Notamacropus eugenii: one gene and its partners. The protein of the gene in region 3 purifies or fractionates together with the protein of the main gene of each other region. This does not show direct contact. Links are inferred from orthologs where the notes say so. Each region holds a gene or a part of one and is shown on either strand. Other genes may lie near its edges. The genes, in order: BOD1L1, CXXC1 and SETD1A.

What was found.
Region 1: the proteins of SETD1A (region 3) and BOD1L1 purify together in Homo sapiens (affinity purification with mass spectrometry; 3 studies listed by BioGRID and IntAct, with this or other methods). This does not show direct contact. The link is inferred for Notamacropus eugenii from reciprocal best matches to the Homo sapiens genes SETD1A and BOD1L1.
Region 2: the proteins of SETD1A (region 3) and CXXC1 purify together in Homo sapiens (affinity purification with western blotting; 16 studies listed by BioGRID and IntAct, counting the BioPlex papers as one, with this or other methods). This does not show direct contact. The link is inferred for Notamacropus eugenii from reciprocal best matches to the Homo sapiens genes SETD1A and CXXC1.

What each region holds. Positions count from the first base shown.
Region 1 is NC_092877.1:66,180,669-66,190,758, forward strand, and holds the start of BOD1L1 (biorientation of chromosomes in cell division protein 1-like 1), read right to left. Parts: upstream 4,002-10,090; 5' UTR 3,973-4,001; coding exon 3,640-3,972; intron 1-3,639. UniProt on the Homo sapiens protein: Component of the fork protection machinery required to protect stalled/damaged replication forks from uncontrolled DNA2-dependent resection.
Region 2 is NC_092879.1:101,928,209-101,938,836, reverse strand, and holds the start of CXXC1 (CXXC-type zinc finger protein 1), read right to left. Parts: upstream 5,059-10,628; 5' UTR 4,966-5,058; coding exon 4,858-4,965; intron 4,721-4,857; exon of another isoform or gene 4,513-4,720; intron 4,501-4,512; exon of another isoform or gene 4,394-4,500; intron 4,231-4,393; coding exon 4,109-4,230; intron 3,796-4,108; coding exon 3,695-3,795; intron 3,592-3,694; coding exon 3,356-3,591; intron 3,125-3,355; coding exon 2,966-3,124; intron 2,861-2,965; coding exon 2,813-2,860; intron 2,470-2,812; coding exon 2,314-2,469; intron 1,867-2,313; coding exon 1,496-1,866; intron 1,309-1,495; coding exon 1,101-1,308; intron 1,014-1,100; coding exon 903-1,013; intron 567-902; coding exon 517-566; intron 411-516; coding exon 314-410; intron 210-313; coding exon 57-209; intron 1-56. Other genes in the region: synaptonemal complex central element protein 1-like, read right to left, coding at 8,268-8,363, 8,497-8,614. UniProt on the Homo sapiens protein: Transcriptional activator that exhibits a unique DNA binding specificity for CpG unmethylated motifs with a preference for CpGG.
Region 3 is NC_092874.1:377,753,908-377,764,713, forward strand, and holds the start of SETD1A (histone-lysine N-methyltransferase SETD1A), read right to left. Parts: upstream 4,975-10,806; 5' UTR 4,882-4,974; intron 4,860-4,881; exon of another isoform or gene 4,723-4,859; intron 4,499-4,722; exon of another isoform or gene 4,413-4,498; intron 3,934-4,412; exon of another isoform or gene 3,642-3,933; 5' UTR 3,627-3,641; coding exon 3,489-3,626; intron 3,291-3,488; coding exon 3,192-3,290; intron 1,400-3,191; coding exon 1,129-1,399; intron 878-1,128; coding exon 756-877; intron 489-755; coding exon 262-488; intron 1-261. Other genes in the region: ORAI3 (protein orai-3), read right to left, coding at 8,107-8,823, 10,535-10,765. UniProt on the Homo sapiens protein: Histone methyltransferase that catalyzes methyl group transfer from S-adenosyl-L-methionine to the epsilon-amino group of 'Lys-4' of histone H3 (H3K4) via a non-processive mechanism.

The DNA of each region.
Region 1 (10,090 bases), on a different chromosome or scaffold from region 3:
TGCTGAATAGTAGTTTCAATCATGCCCACTATTTCAAATTAGCTTTGGGAGCAAATTTAAACTTTTTTCTCCCTCCAGTCCTAACAACATTTCCTTCGTTCAACTTTGAACTAACATGTCCTTTTCCAATTCTTACTTTCAGTAGAAAGTTGGTCCAAAGCTACCTCACTGTCCTAACTTGCTGCCCAAATGGAAGGAATTCAATCAATGGCATCACGTGTTTGTTTTTTTAAATAAATGTATTCTTTCTTTGTTTAACTACTGCTTGTTTTAAACTTAAAAGATGTTGGTAGTAATTCCCTTTCAATATTTCTCTTCTTCCTTGACATTACTGTCTAATCTGTCAAAACTAGACTATAATCACATGGAGGAGGGACCTGATTTAATTATTAAACGTGTCAAAAAGTTTATTCTACTTCACAGGAGTGCCATTCCACACCATTCCTTGGTCACTGGGCTATCTCAGCCAAAAGAATCTGGAGTGGGTTGATTTCTCCTACAAATTAGCATCATTATCCATGCCAAATACCAATAATTGAAATATTAGAACCATCCAAGCAATGTGGGTCTTGTTAAGTGTACGTATCTCCATTAGAACCCAGTTCAATTCTGAATCACAGTAGGATCTTCCACACAAGATAGGTTGGTTTCAAAGGATGTCTAGGGTTTTAGTTCATCTGAGGCATGTGAAGGAGGAAAAGAAGGTTGAATTAGAGAAAATGAGAATGTCTCTCTTAGCATAAAAGCATTACCAAAGCCCCCAAATTAGCCTTCTTAAGTAAGACAATCTTTAGGCCTCTAGAACAGTTCAAACAGTTACAGTTAGAACCTACATTTACACCTCAGTCTGTACTTGTCTTTCTTGCAACTCAGTGTAAATGCTGGTCCTAGAACATTTCTCCACACATAAATATTTAATAAATGCTTGTTGAAATTAACCAACAAGCATTTGTTAAATGCTTCCTATGTGACAGACACTGTATTAGGCATTGGGGATGCAGTTTACATTCTAATACAGGTTACTGAATGGACATATGTTAAACATATAAAATCTAGATATGAAATAATTTTGAGGGTAAGGCACTAGCAGCTTGGGAGTGGTTCAGCAGAAGTTTCATGTGGAATGTAATGAGTTGAGCTGTGATGGAAACTCAAGTTTCTAAGAAGTGAGGAGGAAGTACATTGAAAATATGGGGGACAGCCCATACAAAAGCCCTGAGACAGAAGATGGAGAGTCCTGTGTGAGGGACAGCAAGAAGGCAGTCTGAATGGACCAGAGTGTATGAACAATAGGACTAAAATAAAATAAAACTTCTTTTACTGGTGTGCATGCTGAATTGAATGTGATAGCTTAGAGTTACAAGCATCTCTCCTGCTGCTGTGCTCACTAAAGATTATATGAATGTGTTCACATAATGAAATTTTAGAAAAACTTCCTGAGCAGGGGTAAGGAATCTATACTTCGAATGAGATGGCCACAAAATGGCAAGAGGGAACAAAGAATGGAAGAAAATTATTTAGGGACTACCTTGACAATGACTTAAAAAAAAAAAAAGCTCATTTTTCAAGTCAAGATATATTTATTAAGCATCTACTATGTGCCAGGCACTGTGCTAAGCAGTGGGGGATACAGAGAAAGGCAAAAGGAGCTCACAACTAATGGGGGAGACAACATAGGAGCGACTACGTACAAATAAGACCTGTACAAGCAAAGTTGGAGGTAATCACAGAAAGGAAGGCCTTAAAAACTTTTTGAACAAAGTGGGATTTAAGCTCGATTTTGAAAAAAGCCAGGCAAGCCAAAGGATGGAGATAAGATGGGAGAGAATTTCAAGCATAAAGTACAGCAAGGGAAAATGCACAGAGTATAGAAATGGAGTATCTTGTCTGAGGAACGACAAGACCACTGTTACTGAACTGTGCAGTGCAAGGAAGGGCAAAAGGTAGAAGATGCCTGGAAAGGTAGGACAGGATCACGTTATAAAGGGCTGTAGAAGTCAGATCATGGAGGTGGTGGATGGGATGGTGGTGGCAGAGTGACACAGACAGACCTGAACCTTAAGATCACTTTGACAGCTAAGTAGAGGATGGACTGGAGTGACTAGAGACTTAAGGGCAAGGTGATGGGCATGAGTCAATGAGAGCTTAGTACCAGCTTAGTGGCAGCAACAGAGGAGATGAGAAGTCTCAAAGATTTCTATTTTTTTTTTTAATCTGGACCTGTGATTTCATTAATGTACAAAACAGGAAATGCTGGTCTGGAAATTCACTCTATAAATGGGGATCAACAAGTGACTTACCCAAGGTCACATCGCCAGCATGTGTCAAACTTAGGATTTGAACCCAGGTCTTCCTGACTCCAAGACTGGCACTCTATCCACACCACCAGGCTGCCTCTTATATTTTAGATGAGCTTTAGAAAAACTTTGAAGACACGTTCTATTTTGGAAATGTAATTTACCAAAGATGGCAGACCCATTATCGTAATTCTTAAGTAGGAAAGCCTTCCTGGGATTTTTAATAGGAGCTTTCCCAGGATTGGACTGTGGAGTTGGGAAATCAGCCCAATTACTCTGGGCAACAGGTAAAAAAGAGATTCACACAACTAGCTGAGCTCTAAAAAAAAATTTATTTAGAAAAACAAAACCAAAAAACTCAAGGTGCCTTGGGAACAATCTCATTCCCAAACTGTAAGATAAAAAGCCAAAACCGCCCTTCTTAACAGCCACAAATTTTTTTGAGCATTAACAAAAATGTTCTCCTTGGTGGACCAAAATATCCAATGCTCTCAAACAGGGGGGTCTCAATCTCTTTGTTCTTGCTTTTTTTTTTTTTTTTTTGTCACGACCTCCTCTTGTCATCTGGTGAAACCCACGGACTCATTGTTTTTAAATGTGTAAGAAAAACATGTAGGGTTACCAAGAAAATCAATTACATGGACATACAGTTATCAAAATATTAACCTCAATTCAGGAATCCCTGCTCTACAAAGCACAAGGAACCCGCGGTTAGGAAACCTAGCCTCAGCAGCATGACTCCGGGGCTATCCCATCTTGGGCAAGTCACTGTTTCAGCCGCCGGCAAAAGGAGGCAGTTCCTCACCCGGGGTTCCCCAGCTGTATTTCAGTGTAACGACGTCCTCTCTAATCCCACGGACTTGACCTGATGCTTTTTCTTTTCGGAAAGGGAACGCGAAGGATTAAGCAGAGCCTGTGTGGAGACCTCTGGAAATGGTCTCTCAGGTCCTGGCCCCAGTGAACTATCCAGCCCCCCTGCCTGTCCCCACCCTCACCCCTCCCGTCCCGGACACACACACACCCGGACCCTGCGGATTAAGAACCCAATCTAACTCCACAGCCACAACTACAGCAGTTCACACTCGGAGCGCTTCAGGGTCCGCCAGGCGTCTCCCACGCACCCACTCCCCGATCGGCGCCGCGCCGTCCCCCCCTTCACCTCAACTTCCACTCGAGCTGGGGCTTCCCCCCTCCACACCCCCGGCGGCCTCCCTCCCCCCAGCGACCTCCGGGACTGCCTCCGGGGCAGCTGCGGCCCTGCGTCCGCGCCGGGCCCCGACGGCCGGGCCCACCCCGTTCCCTCCAGCCCCGCCGCTCTCCGGGCGCCCCCCGCGGCCCGCACCTTGGTGTCCACGTCGGCCAGGCAGTCCCTGCGGAACTGGTCGAAGAGCCCCTGACTCTTGAGGTGATTGACAATCATGGCTACGAGCTGAGGGTCTCCCGCGCTGCCGCCGCCTCCGCCTCCGCCTCCACCTCCTCCACCGGCGGCTTTTCCGCCGCCGCCGCCGCCGCCGCCACCGCCGGCGGCTGCAGCCCCGCTCCCGCTTCCCGGGCCCGGGCCGCTTGCAGCTCCGGTCGCGGCTCCCGGGCCCGGGCCGGGCGGCGGCGGCGGCTGGGGCTGGGGCGGAGGAGGCGGCGGCGCCGGCGGCTGCTGGGGCTGCGAGTTACTGGCCATGGCGACGGGGGCCGGGCTCCCCACCTCACCTCACCCCTCACCTCACCTCACTCCCAGCCCGGCTTGGCTCGGCCCGGCCCGGGAAGGGACTTCGAGCCTGAGGAGAGTCGGCGAGGAAGCCGACGGGCAAGGCCCACACTAGGGACCTTTTGGAGAAGCTCCCGTTGCCGCCACCGCCGCCGCCGCTTAGTCCCGGCCGCCAACGGGATGTTGTTACTAAACCAGCGGCCTCAGCACGACCCCGGAAGTGAAAGGGAACGCGGAGGGGGGGAAGCGAAAGGGGCGGTGATAGCGACGGTGGCCAGGAAGGCACAATTCCGCCTCGGCGCTCTGGACGGTCATATGCCTAGGCCAGTCCCCGGAGGGGCGGGGCCGTGGGGCACCTACGGCTCTTCGCGTGTCCGCTCTGTTCGGGTCGCGATCGGCGGCTGGGGAGGATCCCGATAAACCCCCAAACCCCGATCTGCCCGTCCTCCCAACTTCCATGTTTGTGTGTAGGGAGCAGGGCCAGGCGCGGGCCACCCCGGGACAAAAGCGTGGCTACGCTCTAGGACGGCCTCCAGGAGCGGCCGTGCCGTGGGGGGAGGGAGAGGGAGAGAAGAGGGGGTGCGGTGAGTAATCGAGGAGCGGGAGAGCCCCGAGAAATTATGTACCTGCCTCGAGCGGGCGTTTAATGCTCCCCTTGGTGAAGAAGCGGGGGGTCAGGGCAGGCTTCCCGGGGGAGGGACGGGAAGGAAGAGGAGGATTCTGGGACTCGGGGTCGGCCCCCCACGTGCCAAGGCCGAGGAGCGGGCCGGCAGGGCCCGCTAACACCCTGCCTGGCAGGAACCGAAGCAGAATGGAGTTCGAGAAGCCTGCAAGGGTGAGGGGGGTTCCCGAGCTCCAGGCTGAAGCATTTTGGGGGTTCCATCCAACAAGCAGTGGCCGGCGGAGAGGCCTGACCATGAGGGGGCCGGTCCGCAGTCTGGGGGTTGGGGCCGGGGGCCGGGACCGAACCGAGCGCCTGCGGAGAGTTCGCACCTGAGAGGGGGCCGTGGGTGGCGCCGACCTGTGCCCTTAACCTCCCCCCCCCGGGAGGCCCTTGCAGCTAGGATGCCCCCTTTACACCTGGGGACCCCGATAAGCCGTCATCATCCCTGGCACGGAGTGCTAGCGCTGTGCCCCTCACGACTCTCCCCTCATGTGGCCCTGGCCCTGGCAGCAGCTCTGATAGTAGCCCCGCTTTACAGAATGACTCGCCCGAGGGTCCCACCGCTAACGAGGATTTGAGGGGGCATCCCGCCGCTCCGTGTGCCCAGCCACCTGGTGCAAATGGGAAACAGTGCACAGGACTTGGCGATTGATTGCCCAGGAGAGGAGAGGGAGAGAGACGAGGCAAGGGTGACCCCATAGTCACTGGGAGATGGGGGTCCTTATGCGTTAGGTAAATTGTATTGCTTGTGACAAAACACTTTAAAAACAAAGGACAAAATGGTTTCATTATGTGCTTCACAATGTATTACATCTTAATATACTTTAGGGAAGAATTTTGTAGCTGGTAAAATAGGAGTTCTTAAAACAAAAATATTAAAATGATTTTTACCAAAATGACAGATTTAGAATTACATTTTAAATGGTTTGACAATAACTTGAAATTCTATGCGACAAGAAAGGAACTAGAAAACTACCAACAGACATAAACATTTCCACCTACAAAAGCCAAAAAGGTAGTAAATATGAACTTTACGCATAGTTTAAAAAAATCTGTCAAATTTATTGGGGTAGTACCAGCATTGCCAAGCTTGACTGAGTTCCCTTTTGAATTTTATTCTATTTTCTGTTAAATATTTGTTCATGTTTTATTAATGCTCTTTTTAAAAATCATCATTCCCTTGCCCCTCCCCACCAAGTCCTCTTTTTAATAAATGTAATGAAACCAAACAAATTTGTGTTGTGTTGGTCATGTCATTAGAATGGAAGTAATGATTCTTTATCTCCAGTACCTAGTCCAGTACCTGGCACATGGTAGGGGCTTAATATCAATCAAAAAAATATTTTTTAAGCACCTACATGCTATAGATGCAAGTGCAAAAAAAAGAAATGATCATTATTTGAACTTACATTCAAATTTCTTAAATAAGAAGAACATATCCACGTAGCATAAATATGAAGTTCACAAATACAAATATATGTAAAATATGCAGATAGATAACAGCTAAATACAATGTAGTTTGGGAGGGAGGGGACTGGCAATTGGGGACAGGGAACCAGAAAAGGCTTGGTGCAGAAAATGGTACTTGAACTTAGAAGAAGAGACTCTGAGAAAGGAGAAAATGCATTTTAGGTGTAAGGAACAGCAGGTCCAAAAGCACAGACTTGGGAGCTAGTGTGGGGTGTGAGGGGCAGAGAGGTCAGTTTTACTGTTTTGCAGAGTGTGGGAGTACTATCCAATCAGCCTGTAAAGGTAGATTGGGTCAGTTTGTGTAGGGCCTTAAAAGCAAAGCAGAGGCCTTGATATTTTATTCTGGAGGCATTGGAAGATATTGGAGTTGGTTTCCAGAGGGGTGGGGAACCTGTGGCCTTCTAGGTCCTTGGGTGTAAACGTTTTGACTGAGTTCAAGTTTTACAGAACAAATTTTATTAAAGGGATTTGTTGTATGAAATTTGGATTCGGTCAAAGGGCCACACTTGATGTCCTAGAGGGCCACATGTGGCCTTGAGCCTGCAGGTTCCCCACCCCTAGTTGTGTTCGTCCTTTGCCAAAGAAGACCATGACTTGCACTTGACTTTGTTATGAGTGAGGGAGGGCTGTGCAGGTCACTAGCCTCACTTCTCCAGAGCCATCTGAATCCAGTGACCAGATATTCATTAGGATGACTGGAGATGACCCAGGATGCAATGGGAGACTTTGGCCCCTTTAGGTCAAGGCATATTCAGTACTCACTTAGGGTGAGGTAATGCTCGTTCATTGGATAGACCTATTTAAGAAGTAGTTAGGGGATGGCCCCATTAGTGAGGCAGAGAAAAATAGCTAAATCAGGCTGGGAAGGTCATTGCTCCCTTTATGGACACGCTTACAACTTCACACCACGTGACCCTCTAAAGTTCAAGACCACCCCTAGTAGAGGAACACAGAAGATGCTCACCTGGGATTTGAGATCAGGGAGCTGGAGGAACTTCTCAGGTTGGTGAGTTTACACAAGCTAGGGCAGTGGGGCAGGGATGCTCAGGGGTAGCCTTTGTAGACTTGCTTGGTTTTTCCTTTATTTTCTCAAGGATTCCCCCACACACACTTTTCTATTTTTTTTCCTCATCTTTTTTGGTGGAAGAGTGAGGGTACTGGGCCTCAGTTTCACGTCTTTAAGGATCTGTAAGGACAAAGCCAATTCCCTTGGCTTCTCTGTACTCTGCCATCTTCTAGGAAGTCTTTATGTTACCATACTTTTAATGAAAGATTTAAAACATCTTTTGAAAACAGGATGTTTCCAAGGAAGGATAATGGATTGAGTATATTAATTGTTTCTGTTAAAGATCTTCAATATTCTTTTAAGGACCTCTGAAAGTGGGTGCATGAAATAAGTATGTTACTACTTCTCTCTATTATGCTCTGCATTCCCCATTTCTCCATCTGAGTATGAATTTTCTTTGAAGTGATACTGAGATTTTCTGGTTTCTGATTGTACTATCAAAATTTGCCATAATGTTGTGTCACAAAACCAATAGCGTGATGTGTTAGAAAGTACGTTTCACTTTGAGTCAAGAGACCAGGGTTGAATATCAGCTTGACATCATCTTAGTGAAGGAAGACTTCTGGCCTTGCCCCAACCAGCCTTTCCTCAGGGTTCATGCTTGGCCTAGCAATCTAAGTGGATAGAGGTGGCCCTGGAGTCAGGAAGATCTGAGTTCAAGTTCAATCTCAGACACTAGCCGTGTTACCCTGGGTAAGTCACTTCCCCTCTGTTTGCCTCAGTTTTCTCATCTGTAAAATGGGGATAATAATGTCATCTGCCTTCCAGGGTTGTTGTGAGGCCAAAATGAATTAATAATTGTAAAGTGCCTGGGACATAGTAAGGGCTATATAAACGGCTATTATCATTGTTGGAAAGTACACAAATCTCAGAACTTCAGTAAAAATAAAATAGAAATAATATTTTCACCACCTCACAGAATTAGAAGGAAAGTGCTTCTGTAAGCCTTGAAGCACTCTCTAAATGAGTTTTCTCATCATTATGCCTTGGTAGCATTGTCTTTTCCAAACTGATTTGCTTTTAAGGTTGACTTCCCCCTTCTAGCAGCTATCCCAGATCATAGGTTAGATTTGTTATAAGTCATTAAGCAGCACAATCTCCCATTTTGTTAATTATTGCCCATTTAGAGCAAGTATGTTTTTCTGTATAGCATGGGGGTGAGGGATAGTAGAAACCTTGAAATGAAACACGTACTTTAAAAAATTTTTTTAAAAACTGTAATGAAGGTACACTTCAGAAAGAGCTGGTTTTAGGGAAAAAAAGTTCTTTACCATCAGTGGTGTCAAACTCAAACAGAAATTGATCCCTGTGGGGGATGGATTCAATTCAGCATATTGACTTCAAAACCCACAAATTAACATTATTTATATTGGGTTTTGTTTTTTTTTTTATTTTTATTTTATTTTATTTTGCATTTCACCTCTGTTTTCATCATGATTTTTTAAAAAGCAACAACTTTTATATGAATGTGAATTGATTACTTCCAAAGAGATGCAACATTCCTGAAAATGGTGTCATTACCAGGAGAAGCAAAGGGTTATATTTACATATAAGCTTTTAAAAAAGTCATGGAGTAAATCAATCATAGGAAAGCAATTGCTTTAGGCTTCATGATGCTTCTAGAATATAGTTCAGTTTGAAGCTGTCAGTGCTACCTTTATGGGTTTAGGTATGGTTTCCCTGGATATATACATTTTTACGTTTGCTTATCAGCAGTTTTCTGACATGAATAAAGGGCCATGATTAGAAAGGAAGGGTTAATAAACAACACAGCGGAAGCACTAAACTGGCTTGGTTGGATGGGACTTTGAATGTCTCACATGGCAGTTTCTTTGAAGAGAACATATTTTGACAGAGGAAATATATGGTACAATTAAAACCAAAAAGTGGGTTTCTTATTAGCAAAATGTTTCTATCTGACATGAAATGAATTTGCGTGAGTGTTAACATAAGCATCTTTTGAATGCCTACTTGGTGCTTAGCATTGTAATCGGCAGACAACTCTTTGAGGGAAGGAATCAGCATATTTATACTTTGTATTTCTCTAAGTACTTGGCACTGGGCACTTCACAGGTTAAGTACATAATAAATGTTTGTTGAATAATGGAATGAGTGAAAAAAATGAAATACAAGTTAAGTAGATTGGTCAGTGGCTAGAGTATGTTCCCCTCCATAAATCTCACTGCCCCCTATTGCTCCAGCTCTACTCCTTCCACCCAAAACGGCACTACCCCAACTCCTATTCATAGCATTTTTCTTTCATCAGATGGACAGGCATTAAATCATGCAACTGTTTGCAATAGGTGTATCTATGGGTGGAAATATATTTTTAAAACACACATACGTATTTTCTACCTTCAAGGTGCTTACAGTCTAATGATATAGGCTGTGCCTTTAAACAAATAAAAATATGATAGTGTTTGACCCAAAGTAGGTAGCAAGTGCTTGTTGAGTGAAATTCATTTAAAGGGGAATGATTATAATGCATTGTCATCAGTAATGCCAAAATCACAATACAGCCTGGATACACAGTTGTTGAAAGGACAAAGAGAAAAATCAGTGAACACACTGGGGTGTATTTAATCAGGAAAAGGTTTCAGAAAGTAAGAGTTTGGATCTTAGTCTCTATAGAGGTGACGGATGTGAATAGTGCTAGTCTCTTTCTCCAAGGATACTGCAGTAATGGGAAATCTTGAGCTATAAGGTCTGTAGCCTGAACTCTCAAACTCAAGGACATTTGAACTTGGGGTTACTCATGAGGCAGTTCCCAAAGCCTGTGCCTCCCAGGAAATCTTGCGTTTCTGGCCAGCTGGCTTGATTCTGAGATCACATTGCCTGGGGAATTCAAAAATTCCCTCTACAAGAGATATTGGTGGTAGGAAATAATTTCC
Region 2 (10,628 bases), on a different chromosome or scaffold from region 3:
GTGCTCTAGCCTCCTCTCTGCCTGAAGTCCACACAGGCAAAACCAAGAAGTCTCACCACTCGCACACGCTCCAGATCCACCTCAGCCCTTCGCAGCTTCTCCCAGCAATAGTGCCGATTGCACTGGCGTTTGGGCAGGCGACAGAAGTCTCCCGTCAACTCAAACACATCCCGTACCAGGGGGCAGCCACATACTTCATCCGCTGGTACCTGCATCTCCCCCAAACAGGCACACAAGCCAAATGAGTCATCAGAGATGCACAAGACCACAAGAGATGATAGCAAAGACTATGTCCCCAGCACAATTTACTCACCTTGGGGTCCCTGGAGTGCTCGGGGCACAGAACCTGCAGGCGTTTACAATAGGTTTTGCTCTGGGGGTTGTAGACATCACAGAAGAGGCGAGTAGCCCTGGTGGGATAGGGGTTAGGAGCAAGGGAACCATATGCTTATCAGAAATGTGAGAAGATGACTCTATTCTCCCTGCCCTCCCCTTCCCCAAGGTGCCCTCTCTCACCCCTCGATTCTGGTGGGGTACATCGACCCGAAGGATGTCTGGCTCTCATACTGTGGAAGACAAGGTTAAGATCCCACAATGCCCTGAATGTGCCTTTTACAGAGCCAGGGCCCTCATCAGCAGGGACTTGTTCCCCTGACAGTCTCTTAAGAAGGCACCCACTTTGTGAAGGGCAGCGTGGCCCATCCCCACTGTTCTGAGGGCAGTCGTTATCTCTCCCCCAACCCTTGTCCCCCCTGCACAGGTCAGTCACTCCCCCATTCCTCAGGCCAAACCAACCTGGACCCTGCCCTCCAAAGGACATGGACTACCCCTTCTGGCCTGCCCCACCCCAGTGGATGCTACCCTCCTAAGGAACTTCCCCAAGTTGCTGAGGGGCTAGGCACCTTGGCATAGCAGCGCTCCATATGCCTCAATGCCACCTTGGGGTTGATAGGATGGCCACAGGAGACGCAGAAGATCTGCAGGTCCGTATCCTCGCTGTCTCCCTCATTGCTCTACAAACAGGGAACCATGGAGCCCCAAAGTGAGACTGTGAGTACCACCTCCTTTCCCAGGGGCTCCCCACAACCTGGCCTCCTCACCTCCTCATCCTCGCGTACCACTTGTTGCTTGGCCCTGAGGATGACAGCCTCCAGCTCGTGAAAGCGACGTTCCATGTCCTGCAGGCGCATCCGAGCCCCCTGCTGTTCCCTTCGGATCCGTTCCAGAAGCTTCTTTCCATGTTCTTCTGCGATACATGGGCTTTGCTGCCACTGCTGGATTCGCTGGGGTAGGATCTCATAGATACGACTGCCAGGGAAAGAGGGCAAGATATGCATGGGAAGGGATCCCAGAGGGCAGTTGGTCTCTGGAGTCCTCCCCAGGAGCCACACTAGCTATAGCTTTCTGCTAGTAGAAGAGCAGGAGTGGGACAAAATGGGGAAAGAAGTCAGGCCTCATGTAATGTGGGCAAGAGATGGGGGGATGGCATCCTCACTTGGCAGCCAGCTTCATGCCACAGTCATCAGAGCAGTACTTGGAGCCTGGCTGGGCAGCCTGGACACAGCTGGGGCCCAGACACTGGGGCAAGGAGGCTGGGTCTTTGGCATCTGGGCGTTCAATGTGTTTCCACTTCTCTTTGTGCCTCTGCTTCTGCCGGTGACGCTTATATTTCTCCTCCTTCTGGGGCGGGAGGGGGAAGCTGGTGAGCCTCTGGACAGTTCCCCACTGCCCACCACTACCGCCTCTCCTGCTACTCACTTTTTTCTCTGACTTCTTCTCCCGCCGCTTGACATGTTTTACTTTCACTGCACGTTTCCGAAGTACTGGGTCCAGGAAAGGTGCATCCTCAGGGTCACTCAACCATGGCTGGGAGCAGGAAGGCATAGGCCACTGAGCCCATCACCCCTCTGCTCTGACCAGGTTGAGAAGGAGCCAGCAGAAAGGCACTGATTGGCCCTTTGGGGAATACTGTCTAACCACTACAGGCTCCGAGCCACGACAAAAAAAGAGTGTCCTTTCTCTCCCCTTGAATACATAAAATTCTAAATTGAGAGTTGGAATAGACCTTGGAGGCTGTAGAAATCCAATCTTATTACTTGCCCCAGGTGAAATAACTTGCCTAAAGATCCCAAGACTTCCGACCCACATGCTTACACCCCAAATCTAGCACCCAGTCCGTATTTCATGCTACCTCATGCTGGAGAAGACACTCCAAGGTTCTAAGCAGAGAAAACAGATAAAGGACCTACGTGAAGGGGCTTTCCAGAGGCCCAGTCTAATCTGCACAAGAAGGAACAGGGCCCAGCCCCTCACCAAAGTATGGTCATCGAAGGCGCCAGCACAGAAGTCCTGATAGAGCTCAGGGTCCAGAGGCAGATCCTCATCAGAGAGGGCTTCAGGGGTGGCCACGGCCTCTGGGGGCTCCTTTAACATCTGGAAATGTTCTTCCCGTGCCCGAAGAAGTTTCTGCTATGGAGGAAGCAGCGGGTGCTGTAGGTGGGCAGCCCAGGAGATTGCAGAACCAGGAGGCAATCCCTTAGATCAATGCTCTTAATGGGAGGGAAGGGAGGCCCAGAGAGGGGAAAGGGCCTGAGCTGCCTGATCCTTGCCTGGGGCTCCTTCTAATATACTGTGGGGAAGAGGGAAGTGAACAGGGGATACAGAATGGTCTGCAGGAATTAGCAATTCTAGCAACTGCCCCCTAAATGGGCCAAGCTGCCCCTCCCCCAACATGGTTCCTGGACTTGGGGTTATTGGAAGGGCAGTACCCCAAAGAAGAGGAATGTTTTCCAGTCCTAACCCCAACACTCACCACAGCTGATGCCAGACTCACCGAGGAAGGGAAATACTTATAGGATTCCTAGAAAAAGAGAAAAGAGAAGCGTGCGGGAGGTAAAGGGGAGGTGTGGGTTAGGTGGGGGTCAGCTAGGCCCAAACCTTCTAGAGCCACCTTGTGCTCTCTCACCCGGGCTCGGAGCTGGCATTGCCGTAGACGGCACTTCTGGCGGATTTTGTTGGGGCCCCCAAACTTCTTCATGTCACGGCAGAAGTCACAGTGACCACAGTCCTCTGTCCGTCGGCAGGCCTCACACTCCCCACACATGCGGGCTGACCGTTTGATCTGCTGTTGGGGGGAATACAGTAGGGGAGGACAGAACATGGGGGAGAGACACTCCTAGGATTAGCACTGTTCTAAGAAGATCTTTTATCATCATAAATGCCCTACAATAAAGAAGGATATACCATAAAACCCTGGGACCCCATATTCTTTTCCAACTCAAAGTTCCCTCCTCCTGGTATAAGCCCTAGATTTTACAACTCTATTTCCAAGTGTCAAACTTCTCTCCAAGCTCACCTGGTTGGATACCTCTCGTCCAGGCCCAGGGGCTGAGGGAGGTGGGGCCTTGTGGGGAGAGGTGAAGCCCTTGGGGATGGTCATGGGCCCACTTCCCACAGTCTCTACAAGGAGATCTGAGGCAACCTTCCTCTTTGGGGTGGTCGCGTCGTCCCTGGGCTCAGTCTCGGGTTCCCCATCACGCTCACGGCATGGTTTTTTATGCCGGTATCGGATCTCCAGCTTTGGGTCTTTTTCTGTCCGGGAAATGGGCATAGATTGAGGGATCCCTCTGTTGCTAGCCAAGATTCCCCCTAAATGGGCCCCCATAACCCCCAGGCTCCACCCCCCAAGACTCACCCCGGCACTGCAGGCAGTACCACTCCCGGATGGCCTTTGCCATCTTCTCTGTGATCTTGATGCAGTCACCATGGAACCACTCATTGCAACTGTCACAGCCACTGCACAAGGGACAGAAGCAAAGAATCTGAGATGTGTGTGAGGCTTGGAAAGCTAGGGGCCCCTTTCCAGTGCATTCAGCTACAAGGCTTCTCTGGAAGTTAAGTCTGACACATGGGAACCTGAGACCTGCTCTCTGAAGGAGGATCTCCATAAATGCTCCTCTTTTCCCCAGTGCAAAAGCTCTTTTGGGGAGCCGAGCCCTGCGGTCCTGCTTGGAGGAGCCCTCCTGATGGCCAATCAAACCTGACTCCTCCTCCAGAGAGCTCCCCAGACTGAGCCCACCCACCTACACCCTACAACGGGTGTTCTCACATCATGAAGCAGTTGATATCGGGCTTCCGGCAAACACAGTAAATGGGCGCATTCTCCCCGATGTCCGACTTAGATTCTTCCCCGCCGGTGGCCCCAGGCTCTGGGTCTGAAAACTCACTCTCCTGTAAGGTCACAAAAGCAGAGGGAATCCCTCAGTCTTCTTGCCCCCGCCCACTTCCCAGACCCCTCCCCTCCTCCCTTCTCCTCCATGCCCCGCCCAGGCTCGGCCCTGACTCAGTCTTCCCTCCTCAGTTCGGTCTTTTCCTCTAGGTCTCACGTTCCCACCTCGTCCCGAACCCCGAGCCAGGTCTACAATTTTTCTCCGGAAATCTCTTCCCCGCCCCCGCCTCCTCAGCCCTGGAGTCCGCCCGGGGTGACCTTAGACCTTCCCCTTCCGCCTCCACCTTCGGGCGGCTTGAACTGCTTCCCAGTCACTGCCCCTCCCTTCCTTCTCCTCCAGGGAGGCCTCCAGGCCCTCCGTTCCTAAACTCCACGACCTTCCGGGAGGCCTCTCCTAGCCTCTTTGCTGGGGGGCGATCGCAGGACCTGGGCTGCTGCGGGCGGCGGCCATGGTTGCTGCGCCCCCCCCCCCCCCCCCCCCCGCCAAGTCCCTCCTTCCCTGCCCGCCCCGCCCCTCTCCGCGGATGTCCCCCCAGACTGAGGAATGCCCCCGCCCCTTCCGTGCTCCCCGGGGTGCCCCTCCTCCCCGGACGGCGCCCAAAGCCACCCAAGTGGGGCCCCCCAGCCACCTCGTCCTGCAGGAAGGCCCCCGGGCTCGTCCCGGACCCGCTCAGCCTCCTCCCCCGGGCTGCCCCCCGGGATTGCCCCGGGCCGGCTCCGCCCCTCGTTCTCACCATGGCGGCGCCGGGATTTCGAGACTCCTTCGAGACAACAACGGGAGCCTCTCCGAGCGAGAGTTGTCCTCGGACCCACTTCCGCTTCCGGTTCTTTCAGCCCTCCGAGGCCTCGTAGCCGTGCGTGCGCAGGCTCAATGCTGCCTTGCCTCGGCGGCCCGGAGGCGCGCAGGCGCACTGCCTAGGAACTGCTGGGCGGAGGGAGGCCCGCCCGGGCCAAGGTTCCGGGTTCTGGGAGGTGAAGGGAGCATGACGGCGGCCGGGCTAGGACGCAGGCGCGTTGGCGGCCTTGGGCCCCGGGGGGGGGAGTGGGGGTGGGGGAAGCTTGGGTTGGCTTTTTGCCTTCCTGGAGCTTTTCCGGCTCTTGGGGCCGTGATCCCGCCACCCAACCCGCCCCTGCCCTTTCCCGAGCGCACGAAGTTCTTGAGGCCCAAGTGCCACCAAAGGGAAGTGAGCAGTGAAAGTGAAAGACGTTACCAGCTACGCCCCAAGAGCCCGACCTGATGGGCAAGTGGGCAGGAAGGGCAGCCCGAACGACCTTCGTGGGCCTCTAGATCAGCCCATGCTATTGCTTTTGCTCTATCATGTCCAACTCTTCGTGACCCCATTGGGGGTTTTCATGGCAAAGATACTGCAGTCATTTGCCATTTCCTTCTCCAGCTCATTTTACAGATGCCGAAACTGAGGCCGACAGGGCCAAATGACTCGTCCAGTGTCACACAGCCAGTAAGTAGGTGTCTGAGGTCTTCCTGACTGCAGAGCCACCTGCAGCGCCACCTAACTTGCCACACTGATCTCTTCTTGATCAGCCATTACATGAACAAAAATCCCTTCCGCCACCAGCCTCTGAGAACCCCTAAGGAAAGGGTACTACCTAAAGCATCGGGTTCCACTTTTACAGGGACTGCTACGAGAGCTCTACTCCTGACATTGAGAGACAAACCAAGCAAAAGTACAGCAGGAGGCAAGGCCAAGACAAAAACAGGATAGAGAAGAGCCCACAGCTGGGCTTATGCCTAGAGGGCATCAGGAGGAGGAGTACCTAGCAAAGTGCACAAGGGAGATTGAAGAGATTCACGTGCTGGAATCAGGTTTGTGTTTTGTTCCCTACACAGTGAGGAATCACTAATGCCATGGACATACCTAAGAATCAGGAGGCTGATTTTGGCAGCTATTTGAAGGAAGAAGAGACTGGAAGCAGTGACAGCACTTTAGAAGCAATTCCAATGGTTTGGGTGAGAGGTAGCCAGTCAGTGAACATTGATTAAGCACCTACTATGTGCCAAGCACCCTTCTAATTGCTGGGAAGACAAAGAAAGAAAAAAGAGAAGACAGGAGATGATGGCCTCTCTTTTTCACAGATGGGTGGTCAGCAGCAAGTGGGAAGCTGACTGAATGTTCTCAGGTGATGAAGAATATATTGATTTTCCCCACACCATGCTTTTGGAAGGGCCTACTAAGGTAAGTGGGGCTTCTCTTCATGGATCCCCCCACACTTAGCCTCTTCTTCAGTCCTGGGGTTTTCTTGAGGTATAGACACCCTTCTCTCTCAGCTTCCATTTCCCTCACAGATGCAGGCATGCTGTTTTCTGTTCCTTTTAAGATTCCTCTTGCCTTGGGGACTTGTCTTCAAGCTCTGGCTCCTGCTCCCCTCTCCTTGTCCCCAACTTCTGTTCCCTTCCTCAGACCTAGGCACACATCTCCTCCTCATGCTCTGCTGAGCCTCTGTTCACTCCCTTGTCTAGGCTACGCTCTTGTGCTGTGGAATGTGCAACTTGAGATGAACGCTCTGAGGGGAATGCTCTGAAACAGCCACCACTGCGTTGCCATCAAAAACTTCCTTAACAAGTGGGATAAGTGGGCCAGTGGCCATGCCAGGGAAACCTGGTTTAACATCCAGGCCCCTTGGGAATGGAGGGGAAACAGGGTGAGTTAAAATGAGGAAATAGGCTTCTGATCTCATCCAAGATAGGAGAAAACTTAGGCCCAGGAAGGAGACTTAACTTGCTAAGGTTATGACAGAGCCAGGATTAGAATTTAGATCGAACTTCCAGTCCACTCAATCAGTTAGAATTCATTAGTGGGATTTCAGTCCCAGTATAATCCCACTACACCATAGGAGAGGAAGATTTAGAGCTAAGCTGGGGGAGAGGGTTGTCTAGAAATTGGAATTTAGGGCTTCTGAGCCTTCCCTCCCATCCCACTGATTTCCAGATGGGCATCACTTCCAGTCAGATCCAGTGGACAACTGATGTTACCAAGTTCCTGCAGATACCTAAAGAGCGCTTTGACAAGAAAGTCCTCAAGGTCATGAGAAAGAAGTAGGCAGGGAACTCTCCAAGCACAGAGTGGACTTGGAGAGAAAATTGAGGAATTGACAATTGGGACTGGCATTAGAGAAGAGTTTGGCAGTTTGATTAGTGGATAGAATGCTGATGGAAAATCAGGATGGACTGGGATTGTGTTTGATAGTGAAATAAAAAGTCAGATGATAAAAAATTAGGGTTATTGAGGTTGAATTTATGATCAGAGTTAGAAACAGAGGAAGGCAAAGTTGCTATATAGGGTACAAGATGCAGTAAGGAAGCAAACGGTGCTACTTTTTAATATTGCTTTTCATAATGTCATAATGTATAATTATTTATTTTGTGTTGCATATGTCTTGTATGATAAGAGCTACAAGATTACCTTGGTAGACAGGAACATATAAAGGGGTGTCATTTTCTTTTAAAAATATATATGTATGCATATAGATATATTACTATATATGGATATGGATATCCTTTATTTTCACATTATCCAGACTTCCGAGGGGTGTATTTTCAAACTTTGCCTGGATATACCAGTTCTTTGTCCTGGGGTCTTGAGCAAGGTCAGAGTTAAGAGGAGGCCATAGCCCCACTACAGGAGGAAAAGAGTGGGAAGACTAGACCAGAGCTCTGGGTCCAAGTGTGAGACACTGTAAAATAGGATGAGTCCAGACCTGGCATATAGGAGGCATGGACCAAGGAGGCTCCAGAGATACTACAGAACTATATAGATCTGGGAGATGGGGGCCCACAGAGTGCTCAAACCCCACCTAAGAAGAAAAGGAAGTCATTAGGACAAGATGGGGGATGGGGGATGGGGGATAGAAATACAGCCAGAGAAAGGGAACAGAACAGAGTTCTTTATTCCAAAGAGTATACCAGACGGTCCCCCATGGTTGAGATGGGGCCAAAGGACCAAACACTGTCTCTCCAAGCTAGGTTCAGACCAGGCTGCAGCTCCCTCCTGGTGCAAATGGGTGAACTCCCTGTGAGGTTCTAGGACAAGACTGAGGCTTGCCCAGTAGGATGTTTCCCTGGGCTGTGGTCAATATTCAGTTCCTTCTCCCAGGCTGTTGGGGGCTCTACAACAGGCTAAAGACCAAAAAAGTGGCTAAGGATCTCCTTGGAACAAAGTTCTAGTAACATCCTTATGCATGGCTGTCTCCCTTCCTTTCTCTTTTCCAGGCTACTGAGTAACCAATGCTGGCGACTCTGGGGTCCTTACCTCCGCTAGGGCCCCCTCTGCAACTACACCACTGACGACTTCAGAAGCTCCCGCAGTGGGGCTCCCCCTGGGCCCTGTGATACCACCTTGACCACCAGCTTCCAGCTCCATCTTCAGCCTGGCAGGGGAAATGTTAGAAAGCTGTAGGTCAGGGTGGGAAGGACCTTAGGAGGCTGGGCCAGAGAGAGACCCAAACACACACAAACGCACACACATGCAGAAACACTAACACAAAAAGACATACATAGGCACAGAGGCTGAGCCAGAGAAAGACAGCAAAACACAGAGACCAAGTCTGAGAGATAAGACAGAGACATGCAGACCCCAAAGGAGAGACATGCATCCACACAGAGGGAGAGTGGAGGGGGCACAAACAAAACCCATGTCAGAATACCAAAGGAACTGATGAAAATGTTGGGGAAAAGGAGGCTCAGCAGTACTGATCACCAACTGTAGAATCAGGCAGTCATTATCCAAATGTTCTGGTACTGGCTAAGAAGTTGGAATACAGAAGACATGCAGTTGAAAGCAGCAAGTCAACATCATAAGCTTCTATTGGACAAGTGTAAAGACCCAAGATTTGGGCAGAAGAATTCATGATTTGGTAAAAATTGTTGGGAAAGCTGGAAAGCAGTCTGGCTGAAATGGGGCAGAGACCACTATCCTACAGACTTGCATAATTTACCAAGATAAGGTCAAAATGGATACAATGACCTAGATGTAAAGACAACTAGAAAAACATGGAACACATCACCTATGAGACCTAGGCGTAGGAGAACAATTCATGAAGAAACAAGGAATAGAGAGCATTGTGAATGTACAAAATGGATAATTTTGATTACATTAAATTAAAAGTTTCATACAAATAAAACCAAAGTAAACAAGATCAGAACAAATGCAGAAAATTGTGGGAAAATTTTATAGACAGTTTCTCAGATAAAGGTCTCATGTCTCAAATATTTTATCAAATTTATGAGAGTATGAGTCATTACCTAATTGATAAATGGCCAAAGAATATGAACAGGCAGTTTTTCTTTTCCTTTTTTAATTAATTAGTTTATTTTTAATTTTCAAAATTTACTTCCACAAGATTTTGAGTTCTAAATTTTCTCCCCTCTCCCCCTTCCCAAGACAGTGTGTAATCCAATATAGGCTCTACGTATACATTCCTATTATATATATTTTCACATTAGTCATGCTGTATTGAAGAATTGGAACCAATGGGAGGAACCATGAGAAAGAAAACAGCAACCAAAACAAAACAGAGTAAATAGTCTGCTTTGCTCTGCATTCAGACTCCATGGTCCTTTCTCCTGATGTGGACAGCATTCCCATCATGAGTCTTTTGGAGCTGTCTTAGATCCTTGCACTGCTGAGAAGAGCTAAGTCTATCAAAGTCAGTCATCACACACTGGCTGTTACTGTGTACAGTGTTCTCCTGACTGCTTGCTTCACTCAGCATCAGTTCCTGTAAGTCCTCCCAGGTTTTTCTGAAGTCGGCCTCTTCATCATTTCTCATAGCACAGTAGTATTCCATTACATTCATCTACCACAACTTGTTCAGCCATTCCCCAATGGATGGGCATCCCCTCAATGTCCAGTTCTTGGCCACCACAAAAAGAGCTTCTATAAATATTTTTGTACATGTGGGACCCTTCTCCCATTTTTATGATCTCTTTGGGATGCATCCCTAGAAGTGGTATTGCTGGGTCAAAGGGTATGCACGTTTCATTTTTATAGCCCTTTGGGCATAGTTCCAAATTGAAACAGGCAGTTTTTCGATGAAGAAATTAAAACTATGTATAATCATATGAAAAATGCCCCAAATCATTATTGATTAGAGAAATTCAAGCCAAAACAACTTTGAGATATCATTCTGTACCTATTAGATTGACTAAAATGAGAGAAGGGGAAAGCAAAACATGTTGGAGGGGATGTGGAAAAATGGGGCACTAATCCACTGTTGGTGGATCTGCAAACTAGTTCAACCATTTTGGAGAGCAATCTGGAATTATGTCCAAAAACTGTCTATACCCTTTGACATAACAATACCACCATTAGGCCTGTTTTTCCAAAGTGAAAAAGAAAAGAACCTATATGTTCTAAGATATTGATAGCAGCTCTCTTTGTGG
Region 3 (10,806 bases):
CCCAAGTATTCTAGTTTTTAGGCCCTATAGCTCCCATAGGAGCCAGGCTTTCCATATTCCTAAAACAGACTGTAAATTCTCTGACTACAAGGACCATGTATTCCACCTGGCACAAGGCCTGACACACATAGTAGATATTCAATAAATGTTTTCTCAAAGAATAACAGCAGCAAACTCCTTAGCCTCAGATATTTTGCCTGGCATGTATTAGCTCCCAGACTTCAGTAGCTGAGGGAACCCCGGTATTGCCCCCTTCCAAACCTGCTGGAATAGGCAGAGTCCTGGGAATACGGGGTGCTGCCCCGGGAGGTATAAGGCGTCCCTTGAGAGGATTGTGGCGTGAACTGGCCATAGGAGGAGGGGGTGTCTTGCCGGCTACCGGAGTAAGTTGTGTCCTGAGAACAGGGTGTGCCATTTCCAGGTGTGACTGGCACAGAAGTGCTTGATGGGTAGGTTGAATCAGATGAAGGCCGGCGTCGAGATTCCGTCTTGAGAGAAAGGGAGAAAAGAAAGTTAGTGTATATTCACTGCACCCTCTTTGAATCAAGCACCTTCCCACTTATAAAAAGACCCGAGCACTTTTCCCCAGGCCCTTCCTACTCACATTCACTTTTATTCCTCACCTGGAAGTCCTTACTCATCAGTCTTTCCCTCTTCAATCTCTCAAATACCCTGAATCTAGTTCCCTCCAGGAGTCCAGGCATCTGTCTCCCAGAATTCAGATGACCCAACCCTAGGTAGTGTCAGCTTCTCACCGTCTCAGTGGGTATTGCAGGTCCTTGGAACTTCTCATTCAAGACTTTGCCATCTGTGGGCACTGTTTGGGGGGTATAGGAGCCATTGACAATCAGTTCATAGTATTTCATCCGTTGTTGCCCTGGAACAGGAATCAAAAAAGTCAGTCTAAACAAATGGAGGGTATTAGCCCATTCTCTGACAGTCCAGCTTCTCTCTCTAGCTTTAAATTCCCATCTCCACCCTCCCTTGGTCTTAGCACATGAAGTCAGTTTCTCTCACCCATCTCTAACTTTAGGATCTCAATTCTTCTTCCTTTCCCAAATTATCTAGATTTTTTTTTTTCCAAATAGGAACAGATCAGGATTGTAAGAGATAGGCAAGGGACATCACCTTTGATGTCAAGCTGGGCGTGGATGATATTGCCCATGACCGGGGTGTGATGGAGATGTTTTACAGTCTCTTTGGCACCCCGAGTGCTGGCAAAGAGCACTCGGGCTAGGCCTAGATGCTTTCGTGTTCGGGGGTGCAACAGGATCTCCACCTCTTCCACCTCTCCATACTTTCGGCACATGTCCTTCAGGAAGGTCTCCCGAACGTTGTCATTCAGCCGGGCAAAGGTCACTTCCTTCAGTGGGACCTGCCCGATGTAGAACTCGTCAAGCTGTGGAAGGAAAGCAGAAGCTGGGTCAGGATCCAGAGTCACCCTGGCATGAAATAGAGCCTTCAGGAAGATCTGCTCATGGACAAGAGGCAGAGCCATAGGACACTGAGCCTTGGTCTGTAGATTCATGTGTATGTGTTATGGGCAGGAGGGATAGGCAAGAGGGAACTCTATTGAACGCTAAGAGAGATGGCTAACAGAGAAGACTTGAATAAGATGATCTCATTGTACAAAATCGTAAAATCATGGTCCTAAACCTCCTCTGAAGTGAATGCAGGAACCAGAAAAATAAACCTCATAAAAAGCCATAGAAGAAGGACCAAGAGGAAAATCTTTACAAAGTCCAAAAACCTGAACACCCAGATGGGGAAAGATAAGACAGAGAAGTCCTATGAAAAGACACAGAACTTAGAGCTGGAAGTAACCTCATAGGTCATCTAGTCCAATACAACTCTGTAGGAATCCCCTCTACAATATCCTTGACAAGTGCTCATCTACCCGAGAAGAGTAGTTAAATAGAACTTATTCCCTTGTCTATACACTTTTGGACCATTCCAACAACTAGAATGATTATCAGAGGTACCTAGGAGGCAGAGTAGATAGAACACTGGGCTAGGAGTCAGGAAGACCTGAGTTTAACTCTGGCCTCAGACACTTACTAGCTGTAACACAGGGCAAATCACTTAATCTCTGTTTGTTTCTACTTCCTCAACCAAAAATGGGGATAGTAACAATACAGACCTCCCAGGATTGTTTTGAGGATCAAATGAAATAATATTTGCAATGGGATTAGCATGGGGCCTGGTCCATAGTAGGTGCTTAATAAATCCATCCTTCCTTCCTTCTCTTATTTAGACAAAATCTGCCTCTCCTAACTTCCCCTTCTGATTTGTAGTTACAGCTTGAGGCCACAAAACCTAAGAGCACATGAGAATGTAAATAGAGTACTCTGTAAACCTTGGAACACATATATTCTACTTGTTATTCCATGTAACAGTCCTTCAAATATTTAGAGACAGTGACTTTATCTGTTTCTACTTCATAGCCCCCAGTCCCAAGACTAAAACTCTATAGTTCCTTCAAATCTTGTATGTAATGGGCTCAAATTCCTTTAATATCCTCTAGAAAAGTTCCAGATAAATTAATGTCTTTCTAAAAATGTGGCAGCCAGAACTGAGCATATTATTGCAGACGTGATCTGACCAGGACAGAATACAGCGGGAACACAACCCCTCTCATTCAGGACATTGCTTCTATTTAATGCAGCCCAATTCAAATTAGCTCCTCATTTTGTGAGATCTGCAACTATGACAAGCATGCCAAGGAAGATCACAAGACTACATGAGAGTGCAACTTTTGGAACTCCAGAGTCTTTAATACCATCCCTATGATCTAAAGGTAGAGCTGCTACTACTTAGGATACCACATCATTTTTTATACAACACAAAACTCAGATTCAGAAATCACATGAACTAGATTTCTTTTCTGCTCTCATAGCTAAGTTCTCATCAGAATGTCAACCATCCCTTCCCCAAAGGCTAAGGCCACCTTCCTTAACTAAAAAACAACAGCTAATCATAACCTCTAAGGAAAGCCCACCTAGACTCAACCACAAAGTGAAATTATGAATTGCTAGGTCAGGACACTTCACTCAGTTATTCACAAATGCTATGTACAATTTGCTTGTTCAAAGACAAACTCCTTCCTTGGTTGCCTATGTGGATTTGCACATTTTCCTATAACTGTCACCCTCCATAAAAACTATCAGATCATGAAAGTAATGAAGACTTACCTTAAACTTAGGAACTGGGAGGGAAAGGTCTCTGTTTTTGGACCATGTGAGTCGTTGACGGGGATCTTGAAGCTTGCTAACAATCTTGTATCCTGCATCCTGGGATGAAAGAGATGGGAAGGCAATTTAATCACTTTGGGGGAAACAATTTAAAAACTTAGGCCCAGAGTTGGTTGAAATGTAGGACTTCTAACTTTCTGAAAAAAAACAGTGGGGTACAAAGAGCAGAAATTTTGGGAGACAGAAAATTATCTACCCAAGAACCTTGGGGGGAACAGTTGAGGCAAAATAACTCACATTGACACTGAAGTGAATCCCATCATAGCGGTAAACCTTCTGAGGGAGCCTGTGCAGTGCAGGGTCCACAATGAGTTTGTAGTTTCGCCACTGGAAGTTGGGGGGCTTTTGCCCATCTCCCCCTCCTTCCTGGTCCATCCTGGCTCATTTACACTATGAACAATTAAAGGAAGGGAGTAAGGCCCTGAACTTCCAGTCTTCTTTCATACTTATCTATACCCAGAGCCCTTCCAGGGCCCCAACCCATTCCCCATAGACAACCACAGTCCTTTCAAGGTACCACTTTATGCTCCACAAACACAGACCTCTTTACCCCAAGTGCCTCAGATATACTTGCCCCCAAACACATCCCTGTGCCCCCACAGCTTCCTTTCACCCGCAGTCTTCTGCCACCTGTACATGTCCAACCTTCACCCCATACACACTGCAGAAAGCCCTACCTCCATGGCATCCTTCCCCCGTGCCTCCCTCCTGCAAGTCCCTTTGCCCCCGCACCCAATCCTTCTTCCCTACTCATGCCCTTTACAGCCCCCCCTTTCATACGTATTTCTCTCAGGGCAACTTCCCCCCACTGATAACCCCTCCCCGCCTGCCAATTCGTCCCCACAGCCTGCTCCCCCAAACACATCCTGTCCTCACACATGCTCCCCCCAAGCCCTCCCTCTCCTCACCTCCCCTCCCTCCAGACGCGGCCTCCAGGAGCCCCTTCCCGAGCCCCGCCACACGCCCCCCAGGCCTCCTGAGGTGCCGGGCACCCGCGCCTTCCCCATCGCCGGCGGCCCCGGGACACCGCTTCGCTCCCACTCGCAGAGGGACCCGGACCTGGGAAGCCCTCCCTCAGCCCCCCCGCCCCCCGCCCGGCCCCTCCCCCCCAGCCGGAGGCGCGCCCCTCCCAAGCCCCGCCCCCTCCGCCTGTCTCCTCACCGGCGGCCAGCCAGGGCCGGTGCCCCGCTCTCCGGCCCCCCCTGCCCCTCCACCCCAGCTCCCCGGGGCCCAGGGACCCTGCGGCCCCGAGCCAGGAAGGTGGAACCTTCCTCCGGGGCCGCGGCGGGGCTCCGGAAACGCCGCGAGACCCTCCGGGCCGGCCCGGCCCGGGCCCGGGCCCCGGCGGGGGAGGAGGCAGCGCGCGCGGCACTTCCCTCTCCTCGCGCACCCCCGCGAGCCGCCCCCTCCCCACCCGCGCGCGCAGTCCCCTCCCCGCCGAGCGCGCGCGCGCACCGCATTCTGCACTCACCCGCTCGGGGCGAGCGAGTCGCTCCCTCCCCTTCCCTTCCCCACCTCGCTCCACCTCCGCGGCGGCGCGAGACCCGGGCCCCGCAGCGGCAGCGGCGGCGGCGGCGCCCCCACCACCACCTCCCTCCTCCCCGGCGCGCGCACCAAACACCACCGCCACCTGCGCGAGGCCCGGCGGGCTCTGCGTTCACCGGAGCACATTCGACACGGGCGCCTCCGGGACTCTGGCGGGTGGCAGAGGAGCGCTTCCACCTCTTTCTTCCCTCCGAGCCGCACGGGAAGAAGCAGTGGGGGAAGCCGGCAGGCCGGCCGCATCCCTCGAAGAGCGGACCTCACCAACACTCTCTCCTTGCCCGGTTCTGGACGTGTGACGAATCTGCAACTGCTGAAGCGGCGCCGAGTCCCCGAGGAAAAGGGGGCGGGGCGCACGGGCGGAGGCCGGGCCGGGGATGAGCAGGAGAGGTTAGCTCGTCCGGCAGCCGCAGATTCGCCGGAGGTGAATCGGCGGTAGCGGAACTTGCGCTACTTCCTGCATCGGTCTGGCTGGGAAGAGTAGAAATTCCGGATTCGCAGATTCGCCACAGGCCCCGGCTGCTGGCTTCGTTCGGGGTGCCCGGTCTACATCGGAAAAGCAACGCCAGTGTTAGCGTATGGCCACTCGGCTCCCTAACAGTAGTCCAGTTTGGCCTCTCATCCTTGGTTGGCGTTTCTCGCAAATATCACTAAATTTTCCTACTTTGGCATTAGGCACAGAAGATGGATCCAAACGGACCCGACTTTGAATTAAAGGGCTGGGTCGGAGCGATCCGAAATAGGCTTGTCATCGGAGGGACGAATCTGCAGATCACCGTCCCGGTGCTTGACAGGAATGCGAATCTGCGAGCGGGAACCCGACAGCTAGCGGGAGGGGCGGGGCTTGATAGGAGGCGGGGCGAAGGGCTGCGGCGGGGGCGGGGCTGGGAGTGAAGGGGTGGGCTTCTTCCCAAGTCCCAAGTCGAGCCCCAAAGCTACCTCTCCCCACGTGGCCATTACCGCGGTGCTTTTGACAGGAGTTGCTGGAACTGGCACCGGCGGCGACCTTGAACAAATGTGACAGCTTCTCCGAGCCTCAGGGTTATCTGTGACATGGGGATTATCCACGGCACACCTGGTGGGGCCAGGACGGAGAAAACCGCTCGCTGTGGTCCCAGCGTGCAGACATTATCCGGCTGGGAACACCGGCGTCCGGAGGCGAATGCCTTGACCAAGCATCTCCCTAACCTCCCCTCTCAAAGGATGGAGGCTAGATGATCTCTGAATCCCATGACCTTTTGGGGGCAAAGCGAGGAACAGTGGTGGGATGGCCTCTTGCTTCGGAGGACAGACTGAAAAAGTTTAGGATCTAGAGGAAATGCAATAAAACCTTGGGGGATGGGAAGGGTTGGAGCACCCTGCCCCCATCCTCTGCCAAAAAGGTCTGGAAATACTTTCCTGAACTGTCAATTCTCTGTTCCCAGTTTCTAGATGAAAAGTCCATTACAGACTCCTTTAAGACCCTATGACAGTCCCCCTTCCTAAGCCTCTTGGCATTTATTTGCATGGTCAGGGATTAGGAAATCAGGAGGGGGGGCGTGTTACAGTTCCCCTGGACAGAGAAGGAAGAAGCCACTCTGGCCCCAAGAGATGTCAGAGAATGTGCTAAGATGGGACTGTGCTGGCAGCAAAGGGAGGTACCTAAGACCATTATGTCTGGAGTCCTTGCCCCAGGCTGCATTCCCATGTGTTGGCAGGGCCCTGCTGGTGAGGTCAGTCATTACCCACCACATACCCGGTGAACCCAACCCTTCATCTCCAATAGCTACTTTTTTTTGGTAGCCCACCCATTCATCCCCCACTCCCATCTCCACACTCCTCAGCTTGGCCCACTCAGAGCTTAATCTTTTCTGCTCCTCTCTGAGCCCTGGCACAGCTTGCTATTAGTTTTCAAGACAAGTTTCTATCTTCGTAAATCTGGAAGCTTCCCTCTATGGCACAACCTGCCTAGACTTCTGCTCTCTCCAAGTAACAGCAACCCCTTGGATCTTTACTCCACTTCATCCCCTCCCATCAAGGCACACTCCATTCCTGGAACCCAGACCCCAGTTCCTCAGCCTCTGCCCTCATTGTAGTACTCTACCCTTGCTCTTCAATAACCAGGAATAAATGATCCCATCTGTTGTTCTTCCCTTCCAAGATACAGAGGGCCACCCCTACTCTACCCTCCACAGCCACGGTAATGTGTTTCAAACAAGGTTTATTGTACAAAAAAAAAAAAAGATGCAGTGAAAATTCAATGTCAGAGTTGATCCACCATAATTACAGAGGAGGGATCCCTAGGGTGCTCAGCGTGAGGCAAAGCCTATGTGGGGGTATGATTGGACAGGACCTTCTGCATGGAAGCCTGTTCCTCCTTTAGCAGCCCCTCTCCCCTGTTCCTACCCTGGTCAGGAGGAGGAAAAGATGGAACTTTGAGAGGGACAGGTGATGTTGGCACAAAGACCATGAAAAAAACGCTTTTTGAAGGTAAGGCATCAGAGCCACAGGGCAGTACTTACAATAAAAAGGTCCTTCAATTTGGAGGCAATGTTGTGTGACCTATCCCTAGGGCTCCTAAGAACTTGGAAACAAAATGCAGAAGTTGTAGGTTGGCACTGGAGAACCTACCCAAGTGGAAAGGTGACTGACAATTCCAAGGGGTGGGGAGGGAGTGTAGGGAGACAAGTCTTAGACCCTAAGGAGAACTTATCTCCATTCCATGGCCTTGGAGTTCTAGAGGTAGGACTAAGATTGAATTTGGGGCAATCCTTAAACAGCATGCTTGGGGGGTTTCTTTAGAAAAGTCAGCTCTGGCTTGAGAATTCCTCCAGGAAGCATAAATCTATTGGAGAGAACCTAGGAAATGGGAGGAGCTAACTAACGCTTTAGGTGCTACCAAAATGGGCATAGCTGCCACCAATAAGTTGTCCATGATATGAGAACCATCACAGTCAAATGGATATTTTTCCAAAGAGGATGCCTGTGTGAGGAGGGCCTCAGAATACGCCAAGCCCTATCACTATAGGCTATATGGAAAAGGGAAGGCAAGGGAACTAGGGCTCCCTTAAAGGCCAGCCTGACCTGATGCCCCTCCCCCATTCTCAGGGCTACCCGAGTGAGTTGTTCCACTTTGTTTTGGGTGGTGTGGGGCTCCTCCTCTCAGCCTAGGGCTCCTGGGTCAGGCTGCCAGGGGCCTTCTTCCTGGGCCTACCTTGGGGACACCCTGTAGTTCTGTTGCTGGGGCCCCTTCCAATCTGTGGCTGTGTGAGAGCTGCAGTTCCATCTTCCATTTGTTTCTTCCCAAGGCCCTGTTCCTTCCCTCACTCCCATTTCACACAGCCTGAAGTTCTCCCTGGAGGCGGCTCAGCTCTTCCAGCTCCTGTTGATGTCGGTCCGTTTTATGAGTGACCAGAGATCGGTAAAAATGGAGGGCAAAGGCAACAAAAACCAGGCCCACGGGTACCATGATCACTGTTGAGGCCATTGCGGCATGCCACCCAGGCCCATGTGGTGAGGCTACTGGCCCCTCGCACCTCTGTGAGCAGCTCACAGCCGAGGGCCCAACCCTGGGTGGTGTTTCTGAGACTGAGGTCACAGTTGGGGGATTCAAGGGGACCACTGACTCTGTCAGGGATAGTCCTGGACTTGGGCCCATGGAGGTTGGTGCATCAGGTAAAGGGCTCTCTGGACCTCTTGCAGTCAAGGAGGAAGGGATCTCGGGCACAGGAGCCACCGCAGGCCCCCCAATGGGCATGAACTTCACCCAGCCAACCAAGACCACTTCGGCTAGGAAGAGGAAAGTGCCCAAGGCTGTGGAAAACCCCCAGGCCAGCTCCACATAGCGGTGGAGTCGCTGATGGGGAGACTGGTGGACAGAATTGAGGTTGTGAATGTTGCTGACGGCCTCAATGTGGGGCAGCAGGCAGGTGGATACCATGAGGGCGAAGAGGTGGACGGCCACCAGCACTGTGGTACAGGCACTAAAAGCCACCAGCAGCCCCGGGGGGTAGTCGTGGTTGGTCTCTAGTTGGACCTCCACCATGGCCACCTGGAGAGGAGAGTCAGGGGTTCAAGGACCTGGTTTCTAACTCCCAAACCTTCCCACCTGGACCCAGCTGGTAGACTTTACTCCCTTCATAGAACCTTAGCTTTCTAGCTATATTCCCTCTTTGGATTTAATAGGGTTTACCCAATTACTCTAGAGCTTGATGGAAGGGGAAGGAGAGGGAAGGAGGGCAAGGAGCCAGGTAAGGAGGTAGGAAAAATGTAGGGGGAGGGGAATACTTTGGACCCAGTTATTTTAGGAAATTGGGACACAGCAGATGGCAACAGGTGCTGCTCAAAGCTAGGGATCTGGGCCAGTCTCATCAGAGAAAATGCAACCAGAAGTCCTCCCCCTTCTCTGTGATGATCATCCCAGCACCCTGCTCCCATTTCCCTGGTCTCACATCCTCTTACCCAGCCCCTCTTTTCCATTAAAATTTTAGTAAGCAGCCTTCCAGACTAGAACTCACTCTCTACCCTGGGCTACATTTCCCCTACTGAACTCAGGCATCAGTTCTCCAGCCCTTACAGGAGGGCCTGGCCCCTTAAGCCGTCACCTCAGCAACATGGCAGCAGAGTGAACTGTCTCCCTAGGAACAAGTTTGGGTCTTAGGGCTAAGATTTGCTTTAGCCTTGTGTTATAGGCCTTCCTACAGGGGTGCCCTATTCTCTGGGGTTAATAACATCCTCCACTATCCACATTTTTACCCTTCATTCAGTAACTACTACTCTCCTTAGCAGGCCAAGATTTTCTTTTCCCCCAATACCACCTCCTAGGTTGCCTTGGTCCTCAAAAATTCATCCTGGTCTTTCCCTGAAGAGAGAGAAACATGGAGTGGGGAGAGGTGGGAAGGGAATGGGACAGGGAATGTATGTGTAGTTTGGCCTTTCCCTACCTTTCTCCCCCATACACACTTTTCACCCCTTCAGAGACATAATCTTGCCAACCTCCCCCCCTCCATTTTATGTAAGGAGATTGAGGCCCAGGGAGGTAAAAGTCACTTATGAATGAATGGCAGAGCTCAGACAAGCAGTTAGGTTTGATAACTCCCTGTTCCCTTTCTTTCATCAGGATGACACTGCCATATAAATCTTACTCCATCAAGTTCCGAAGTTCCCCATCTCACTCCTGGCCTGGTGGAAAGGATTCTATACTGGTCTTTTAATCTGGAGATTTGCATTCTAACCACTAATTCACTGGGTGACCTTGGGCCAAGTCACTTCTCTACAACTTCAGTGTCCCCAACTGTAAAATGAAGGTGTGTGATTAGATAATTTCTAAGGTCCCCTGTAGCTCTAAAACTCTGCCATCCTGTACTCCTTATTACTTAATCAGTTATCACCCTCTGGATCTGCATTCCAAAGCTTTCTCACCGGATCTTTCTCTTCTCAAATAGCTTCAAACTCTCTAAGCTCAGGGCATCCTCACCCTGTGGCGCTGTTCTCACCCCACAGAAATTACTGCTTGACTGTAAGTCAGACCAGCATTCAGTTATTCTCAGCTGTGGATTTGCTCCCTTCTGCCTGCACATACGGATTCCGACTCTTAACATGCAGGGTTGGCAGCCTTTGGGGCACCTACCACCAGGAGCCCCCTTGTCCCCCCCATCCAGCATTAGCCTAAGGCTCCTTCCTAGCCTTCCCCTTACCTCCTTCCTCACCGCTCCATCCCCAACGATCCCTTACCCCACTGTCTCAGAAAACAACCTCCTCACCATGGCAAAACCGGACAGCAAGGCAGACGTTCGGCTGGAGGCCTTCAGTTTGGCCCGGCTGAGGTAGAGGCGCCGCCAGCTAAGGGCCCGCAGTGAGTGCTGGCTGGCTCCCATGAGGTCCAGGTAGCCTCGATGCACAAAGTCCCGGTAGGTGGCTGAGCCTCCGGGGCTCTCTCCAGCCTCGGGGTTAAGGGGGGCCTGTTCTCCTGCATCCCCCTCTCCTCCTTTCATCCTGGAGAGTCCAGGAAAATGGGGAGGGGGGAAGGAGAGAC